2 linked regions of the Callithrix jacchus genome follow. The protein of the gene in region 1 interacts with the protein of each later gene in a pairwise test. Links are inferred from orthologs where the notes say so. Each region holds a gene or a part of one and is shown on either strand. Other genes may lie near its edges.

Region 1 (4,975 bases):
CTCTAACTCCAGACTCTAGCCCAGTGCCTGGCACATAGTATGCCCCTAACAAATGAATTATGAATGAATCTGTAATCTCTCCCCTACAGAGCCTACTATAATAATAAACATTTACCAGATACTCTGTGACTAGGAATGATATAGTAATTGTGACGAAGCTTAATTGTTTAGCTGGATTTCTTTAGCCTCTGAGGTTCTTAAAGTCCATTAACTCTTGAGTAGTCATTTTTCCTGGCAGTAGACTTGAAAGTGGCAGAAAAGTCTAGGAAACAGTACTGTCTTTGTAGATGGCATTTGCTACTTGCAAACAACAAATCAGGAAAACTAACTTGTGAGGTAATCAGATTCTGTAATACCTGAAGAGGAGAGACTTATCAAATGATCTTCATAAGGAGAACAAGGTGAATGCCGAAGAATCAGCTGCTGCTGCTAATAGCAATGACTATTAACATTAATAGCACTTCCACATGGCATGCACTATTATAATTATTGTATGTACATTAATTCAATACTCAAAGTAATCCCGAGGTAGGCACTATTATTATCCCCACTTTCCACGTGAAGACACTGGTTGGAGAGGTTAATTTAAAGGCCACACAACTGTAATAGTAAGTGGTACATCTGCACCTGGAACCCAGGCAACCTAACTCTAGATTTGTGCTCTGAACTATTATGCTAAATTGAACATGTTGGTTTCTATATATAGAGAGAAGTCCCCAAATTGACAGAAATGTGCTTTGAATTATTTTTCTAGCAGTTGATCTATCTCCCTTTTGAACAAAATGTGGAGAAATGAAATGGCTCTGAAAAAGCAGATATTTTCTTTCAGCAAAGCTAGCTGGCATAAAACCTCAGCCACATTAAAATAATCTGAATTAATCTGCTCAAGTAGTGAGAGTTAATATCTATTAAAAATTTATGCCTAAGATTCCTAATGCTACTAGAAATCTAAGCTGAGACAACTTAAAACTCAAATGAGATGCATGAAAGCACTTGTCATCCTGACACCATATTGAGAAAGATGATCAGGTGAGCAAATAGCTTTTCTATTTTGTCTATTTTAAGAATACCTATTTTTATAAGGAAAAAAGTAAAATGAGAAACATTTTTAGATTTCCAAATTTTAAATACAGGCTTATTCATTTAGATTACTTCTCAGTATAATTATTTTGTATATTGACAAAAGAAAAAGACCTCATGGTTGTTTGTTACTCTTAATCCTATATTCTTCTTTCCTAATCTCCATTGAAATTGGACACTCCTTTATGAACCAGACAGTTTTTTTGAAGCTATGGACAAACATATATAGCTTTTATTGTTATCCTCTCTGAAGTCTACTGCCATATGCAGATGAGTAGACAAAAACAAAGTATTTAATAATAAAAAGGAAATGTATAATTCTACTAACTCAGTATTTTCAAATGAATCATATCTGGTTATTTAAAAGTAAAAATAAAATTTTAATACAAAATAACACAGGGACAATACACATGCCTTTTCCCAGATATAGCATGCAAATTATATTTGAAATAGTTCTTCTATATTTTTATACAGTGTAGCATACATATTTGGAACCCCTGAATAGGCATCTTTTAAACAATATTTTTTTATTTCTCCTTTTGATATACTACTATCAGAGCATATTTAGTTTGGTTTGTCTTTGGACCCCAGCAAAACTTCACTAGAGTCTGTAGCACAAAATATCTAAAATATTTTGAGAATAATGTGTTTATTATTTGTGACACTGTTAACATAAAGCATAAAAATAAAGCATAAGGAAGCAGTTTTAGTGGAGAAGAAATTGAAGTTAAACACTCAGTGTTCTAGTTGACAGATACATACTCAGATTTAGACCTGTGCAATTTAAAAATGGTCAAAGGATTAAGCCATTGATAATGAGGTAAGTTTTCTGTGTAACCGAGAATATATCACCATTACAATGCCTTAATAAGATGTTGATGTTAAAAAAAAGCATGTTTATGAATTCTAGGTACTATATCTCCATAGCTAGCATATTTTAAACAGAAATAATTCATTTACTTCAGAGGTACCTAGTATCTTTAGTCCATACAAAAGATCAATTTCTCATGAAAATGACAAAAATTAAGGTGGAGGGTTTTTGGGGAGGTAGGGGAAGGGAAAGAAAGAACCAAATTATATCTGTCTACAAAGACCGTTTTGCTTTTCTAATAACACATTGTGTAACTTTTCTGAAAATAAAATGGTAGTAGTAGCAAAAAGTGAATTTATACTACAAAATGATTTTAAATAGCCTAGATGTAAGAGCTATAAGAAATAGAAAATGATCTTTAATTAAAAGGGTATTAGTCACCAAGACTGCAACATCTTTCACAGTGAAAACTGTAAATCATTTCTCTTGTGAATTGTTTGCAGAATAGCTCAAATCACAAGAGTAAAGGAGAATTTATCATTATAAATGATCAGTTTACCTTCCTTTTGTTTAGAGAAGTGTTTGGTTGCCAGACCTAATCCCTTATATTTTGCTATTCATATTGAACTACTAAAGCAAACACTAGGAAGCCAGGGTGGGGTTTTAAGGGAGGGCACAGCATTTAAAAAATATACTGTAACACATGTGTAAAACAAATGTTCCTTCTAAGTTGTATTTTATACTAAATGTGTATTTTGTGCATTCAACAGGACTAGCACTCAGGAAATTTGAGTGCCACATTTTTATTCTTGAACCAAATTAGTTCAGAGTTCTTGAGCCCAGGAGTTCAAGGCTGTAGTGTGCCATCATGTCTGTGAATAGCCACTGTACTCCAGTCTGGACAACATAGCAAGATCTTGTATTTAATTAAAAAAAAAAAAACCCCAAAAAACAAAACCACATCTATCCATAGTATATGTAATGAACTTTCAGGCAGAAGTTACAAGCAAACCTGATGTTATAGTTTTACTTAGCTCATATAATATGGTAGTGTGGCTTCAAGTCACTTATTAACATGCAAACAACAACTGAAAACTTCCAGGGATATATTCTATATTTATTCATATTTTTTAAAGATGGGATTTTTTATTAAGATAATTAGTAATTATGTCTTTCAATTCAATCTTCATAGTACCATATATAAAAAAGAGAAAAAAACCCAACAATTACATATGTAATACATTACAGAACTTACATAGCATGTACACATTTAAATATATGTGGATGAGGGGTAACTTACAGATGCCACACACTTAATAGGCATTCAAAAATATTTTCACATTCAAAAAGAAATCAATTTCAATCAATAAAATCAATATTACTGTAAATTAAATTAAATCTTACCAGTTGCAGTGTCTGGTATATTAAGTTTGCTTAAGTGGTCTTTCTGTGCTTTTGCTAGCATGCAAATTCTATGAAATTCTTCTTTCAGATCCCAGAAAGTCTTCTCTATATTATCCCTTAAAAAAAAAATCAACATTTTAAAATGTAAAGCTATAACTTCCAAGTTTTTAAAATAATTAATCTTATGTAGTACCATTTTATGTGCCATAAAATAATTATTTAAAAGTTAAAAAAAATTATTTTAAATTCCTAGACAATGTCACCAAAACCAGCTTGTGTTTGTAGAAATCCAGGCACAAATTAAGTGATAAATTAAAAGTTCTAGTACATACATGTAGTATAGTCTAGCATATCTGCTTATTCATATATATGCTAATACTGGACGTCTTATTCTACATTAGAAATTCTGATGCACTGACTTTTGTTCTCTGCAAACATCTTAAATAGAATATTAAATATTCCTCATTTTGGTAAAGTTCACATTAGGATTCATCCATATAAAGAAATATGGCCTTAATATTTGCCAATTTAAACAGTCGAGCTTTAGAGAATTCAAGTTTTAGATCAGCTTTGCTATTAACTGTATGACTTATTTAGGTCATTTTTAACATGAAAGGCCCTGGGGTTGGTCACTTCCACTTATTCTAAAAGGCTGCTATTTTCTTGTAATTGTTAAAGCTTAAAATATATAAATGTAAAACATATTTCAGTATTGATAATTTTTCAGAGTTGGCGAAGAAGGATGTAGAATTACCTTTCATGGAGCAAAGGACTACCAAGACTCCTTGCTGAAGTTTCTTTTCTAGGAGAAGAAACCTCTTGTCTTCTTACCTTAAAAACACAAAATGATTAGTATTACTACTTTAAATTGCTTCCAAATTCAAATGAGATCGAGTAAAGAGAAAACACAAAGGAAAATTTATTTACCTTCCCTACTGAAAATAACTTGAGGCAGTTTATAGATCTATATGTAATATCCAATTGACTTTTTTCTTTAAATAAGAAAAGTCAAGGAAAAAGGAAAATAAAGCAAGAAAGTGTGAAGTGATGAAATGTTTCTGGTAACTTCTATTACTATTTCCAGTACTGGTAATTCAAGAAATTTCTCAAATTCAACTGTTAATCAAAATTGCTGCCCTGTTCACCAAGCACCTCATACGCCCAGAAGCTTAGGAAAGAAAAAAAATCTATGTGTTTACTTCTTTTCATATTCAATAAAAATGGTCTATATATTTAAATCAATGTGTTTGTCTTTTGTTATAGATTCTTTGCTGAAGAATGCAGCTGTATTAGAGGAAGAAAGAAAACCAAGCTATAGCTCCTTATAATTCAACAAGCATTTAAAAGGTTTATAAAGACGGTGCAATTATGTATTTAAGCTGCTTCAACACAAGTTCTTGCCTTTCACTCCCACCCTGTGGCTCAAACTGGTATTACATTTATTCTGACTTAAAAATCAACATTAAAGAGTATGTTGCAATAATGTATTCTATGGTTTAGATATTTAAACATTTTTACATCATACCTAGAAAGTGTTGTGTACTTTCTAAAGCTTATAAACTGACAAATCCAGATATCTGAAGAATCCTAATATAGAATCATAAGTTATAATTCATCCAAAATTGTGTAGTTCTTAAATTTCAAATCCAAATCAGTGGATATCTATCTTTAGTGACATTT
Region 2 (4,975 bases), on another chromosome or scaffold:
CCACCTGGGCTGAGTTGAGAGGCCTGGGGTCCCAGAGAAGAGCAAAGCAGGGCCTCTACTGCTAACAGGCTTAGACAAGCAGCAGCACAGACATCTACACAGAAAATCTCAGCACAGAACGACAAGTTCCACTCATTCCTTCATTCCACTGACTGATTCATTTATTGAAGGCCTACTATGCCTGCCAGGCACTGTCACATGTACAGTGAGCAACAGACAAAACCCCAGCCTCCACAGAGCTTACACTGTGGCTGTAGGGACAAAGACTAATCAAATTAAGTATGGGCAAAATGTCAGTGACTTCTATTATGGTAAGAGTCAGAGGACGATATTATCTAGTTTTCCAGTTTGGAATAATTAAGAAACTGTGAAGACAGAAGCCAGTTGCAAACACATCAAAATATTATGTTCAGTGCATGCAACAAATCCCTTATTTAAAATCCAATAAATAAAGATGGATATGTTGGACTATGTTGGGTGAGAAGTATTATGGAGAACTATGCAGCGGGCAAGAGGATGAGAAGCACTAGCAGATAGGCCAGGGAGATGCTCACAGTGGTGACACTGGAGCAGACACTTGAAGGAGGCCACAGTGTGAGCCATGAAAGCTAGTGTCTGCTTTCATGACAGGGCCAGGGAGCCATAGGTGTGAAAGCCCTGAGGTTGCAGCCCATCTGGGCCTGTTATTTCAAGTGTCTTGAAGAAACAATAGGAACTTACTGAGCAAAAGAAACAGCATATGAAGGTGGCATATCAAGGTGCTAAAGTAAGAGACGGATCAGAAAAGAAGGCAGGAGCCACAGCATGCAGGACCTTGGATGTCAGGAAATGGGGAAACCAATGGTCCTATGGAGACAGGGCCTGGATAAGTCACCAGTGCTTTGCTGGCCAAGATTCCTGCCTTCTCCAGATGCCCCAAGCAATCCTGCCCTACACAGGGCCCACAGTACCCACCTTGCCTGACCAGCCCACGGTCTGAGGGCTTTGAGGCATTGACACTATGCAGCTGCTGCAGCATATCACTGAGGTGGCAGTCGACCACCTCACCCGTCTCTCGAACCACTGGTTCCTCTTTTTCCCGGGGACGCTCAGGCAGGGGGTTCTCCAAGCCTAGGAGGGTAACAAAAACAGGGGCGTTGGGAAGGGCACAGGACTCCCTGCCACAGCTGAAACTTTTCTGAAAGAAAAATCTTAGCTACCACTGCTTAGGGGAAACTGAGTCAGTGCCTGGTCAATAGAGCAGGAGCTGCCATGCTCAGGTGACAGGCACACGTGCTAACTGTGAGGCAACAGATCTTCAGATGCTCTAGCCTGTGACCCAACGGCGTGGCCCTGGAGGATACCACCTGCCACCCAGACAAACAGCTTGAAGCCACCAGCAACTCAGAGCTGCCCAGCTTCAAGCAAAGACTTAAAAGCGTCTTCCACATCTAAGCAGATGGGAGGGCTGAGTAGTCTCAGTTCACCCGCAGGATGGATTCAATAGGCATTTAAATAAAAACACAAGAGATTTTTTTCTACTCTAAAATTTGCTTTATATGTTTATAATCAAAAAACGCATGAAAAGATACATGAAATTTTAACACTGGTTATATCTGGGCAGTAGAAGCACAGATTATTTTTATTGCCTTTTTCCTTATTTGTTTATTCCCCTATCAACATTTGCTAGTTCTCCTTGTATAATGTAAAATGTTTCCTAAAGAAGTTTTCAATTAAAAACTATGCCATGATATAGCAAGGAGCTGTTCAAAAAAAAAACCAAAACACTATGCCATCATAGGGACTTAGGGGTGAAATAATAAGATATTAGGGATTTGCTTTAAACACTCCAGCAAGCCCGGGGCAGTTGGCTCACACCTGTAATCCCAGCACAATAAGAAGCTGAGGCAGGTAGACTGTTTGAGCTCAGGAGCTTGAGACCAGCCGAAGCAACATGGCGAAACCCTGTCTCTACGAAACATACAGAAACTACTGGACATGGTGGCACAATACCTGTAAGTCCCAGCTACTTGGGAAGCTGAGATGGGAGAATCACTTGAACACAGGAGGTTGAGGCTGCAGTGAGCCATGATCTTGCTACTGCACTCAAGCCTGGGCAACAAGGCAAAACTATCTCAAATAAATAAATAATTTCCAAAATTCCAGTTAAAAAAAGGCAGGAGGGTGGAATAAATAAAACAAGTCTGGCCAAATGGTGATAATTAGTAAAAATAGATGAAACATGGGATTCATCATACAGTTCTACCTTTGGGTAAGTTTGGAAATTTCCTTAAGTTTTAAAAGTGCTATATGAAAAATTAAAACTGAAAGAAAAAAAGTAGGAGGCTGAGGCAGGAGGATCACTTGAGCTCAGGAGTTCAAGACCAGCGTGGGCAACAGAGCGAGACTTCATCTCTACAAAAAGTTTAAAAATTAGTCAGATGTAGTGGCACACGCTTAAAGTCCTAGCTACTCAGGTCAAAGCTACAGTGAGGTACAATTGTGCCACTGCGCTTCAGCCTGCACGACAGAGCAAGACTCTGTTTCAAATAAATTTTTAAAAAAGAGAGAAATAAGTAATCCTTTAAAATATAGCCCAAAGAATAAAATATCCATGAGTCTATTTCAGACATAACCAAATAAATCAATGGGAGAGAAGGAATAGCACTTCCTTACAGAAGAATTCCAATTATTAAATGTAGAAAAACTAAGGAAAAGAAAAATTGCCATTAGAATATCACTGTAGGTAGGGCACAGTGGCTCACACCTGTAATCCCAACACTTTGGGAGGCGAGGGAGGATCACTTGAGGGCAGGAGTTTGAGACAAGCCTGGTCAACATAGTGAGATCATGTCTCCACAAAAAAAAAATTTTTTTTTTTTTTTTTTTTTTGAGACAGTCTTGCTCTGTCGTGCAGGCTGGAGTGCACTGGTGAGATCTTGGCACACTGCAACCTCCACCTCCCAGGTTCAAGTGATTCTTGTGCCTCAGCCTCCCAAAGTAGCTGAGATTACAGGCGTGCACCTCCACACCTGGATAATTTTTTGTATTATTAGTAGAAGCAGGGTTTTGCCATGTTGTTCAGGCTGATCTCGAACTCCTGAGCTTAGGCAATCTGTCCACCTTGGCCTCCCAAAGAAAAAAAAAATTTAAATTAGCTGGGTATAGTGACCCATACCTATAGTCCTAGTTACTCTGGAAGCTGAGGCAGGAGGACTGTTTGAGCCCAGGATGTTGAGGCTGAAGTGACTTATGATTGAGCCACTGCATTCCAGCCTGGGTGACAGCAAGTTCTAAGAACCATCTCAAAAAAAAATTCCACTGTAATAATTTCTGAAAGGTATATGGAAACTCTGGGGATCTTTTTGTTGTTGCAACTTTTCTATATAAGCCTAAAATAATTCCAAAATGAAGTTTAAGAAAAACCAATACCTAAAAATTGAAAACTGAAAAATGAACTTAAGTTGTACATCAAATGGGTGATATATCCATAGAGAAAAAAAAGTATTTTAAGTGACTTTTTAAAACTATATATCCTTAGTGAAATATACTTTAAGGACAATTAGGATTGCAAGAAAATAAATACCATTTAACAGGAATTCATAGATGTTGAAAATTTTAAGTATATTAATGTATAAGGAAACAAGATTTTCAGTTTAAGAGAAAAGAAATGCAAGTATAAACCAAAGAAGTAAAAACAGATTAACATCGTGTCTAAATCAGACACTTAAAAGTTACCAAAAGCAGTAACTTCCCAGTAGAGAAGATCGGCTATAAGACATATGTATCAATGTTAAATTTCCTGAACTTGGGAACTGTGCCATGTACTATCCTTAGGTAAAAGAATCTGTTTTTAGGAAGCATACACTGAAGCACTAAGGGTGAAGTGTAGGACATATATAACTTTTCGATGTTCAGAAAAAAAGAGAGTAATTGATAAAACAAATGTGGAAAAAAGTGCTAACTGGTGAATCTGGGCAAAAGGGGAGAATAGGAGTGCATTTTTGATCTATGCTACCTTTTTCATAAGCTTGCAAAAATATCAGAATAAATTGTTTAAAAATGTGTGATTAGGAAATATCATCACAGACTCAATGTCAGTCTTCCCCCACTGCTATAAATGCAGTTCCTAATTCTGTTCTCTGAAGAGACCTAGAAGCAATGACAACCTAAGCAATGGCATGCGGTTTTTTGATTTTTAAGAGAACGTTCATCTTTTTTAAGAGAAGCATTCTGAAGTTTATATAGGTGTAAAATGGCAGAGAGCCAAGGTTAACTTTAAAAAAGACTTCAAAGGACAAAAATAAATAAATGAAGCAAACTTGACAAAATCCTGATAACTAATTACTGAATCTAGTAAGTATGAGGGGATCTATTACATTATGCTCTATACGTGTACTTGAAAATTTTCATGCTGGCTGGGCGCAGTGGCTCACACCTGTAATCCCGGCATGTTGGGAGGCTGAGGCGGGCAGATTACTTGAGCTCAGGAGTTCAAGAACAGCCTGGGCAATGTGGCAAAACCCTATCTCTACTAAAAATACAAAAAATTAGCCGGGCATGGTGGCACATGCCTGTAGTCCCAGCTACTTGAGAGGCTGAGATGGGAGGATGGCTTGAGCCTGGGAAGCAGAAGTTGCAGTGAGTCGAGATCACACCACTGCACTCTAGCCTGGGGGACAGAGCCAGACCCTATCTCTAAAAAAAAAAGGAAATTTTTTTCAATGAACCATGTAAAAGTGTTAGAAATATTTTTAAAGGCCTGGCATAGCAGCTCATGCCTGTAATCCCAACACTGGGAGGCGGAGGTAGGAGGATCGCTTGAGTCCAGGAGTTTTAAGACCAGCCTGGGCAACATGGCAAAACACTGTCTCTACAAAAAGTAGAAAAATTAGCCAGGCATGGTGGCACATGCCTGACAGTCCCAGCTACTTGGGAGGCTGAGATGGGAGGACCAATTGAGCCTTAGAGTTCAACACTGCAGTGAGCTGTGATT

The links.
Region 2: the proteins of TANK (region 1) and PLK1 interact in binary tests that used the Homo sapiens proteins (3 or more experiments, as listed by UniProt). The link is inferred for Callithrix jacchus from reciprocal best matches to the Homo sapiens genes TANK and PLK1.

The regions. Positions count from the first base shown.
Region 1 is NC_133507.1:68,574,177-68,579,151, forward strand, and holds part of TANK (TRAF family member-associated NF-kappa-B activator), read right to left. Parts: intron 4,127-4,975; coding exon 4,050-4,126; intron 3,412-4,049; coding exon 3,296-3,411; intron 1-3,295.
Region 2 is NC_133513.1:24,292,557-24,297,531, reverse strand, and holds part of PLK1 (serine/threonine-protein kinase PLK1), read right to left. Parts: intron 1,111-4,975; coding exon 955-1,110; intron 1-954. UniProt on the Homo sapiens protein: Serine/threonine-protein kinase that performs several important functions throughout M phase of the cell cycle, including the regulation of centrosome maturation and spindle assembly, the removal of cohesins from chromosome arms, the inactivation of anaphase-promoting complex/cyclosome (APC/C) inhibitors, and the regulation of mitotic exit and cytokinesis.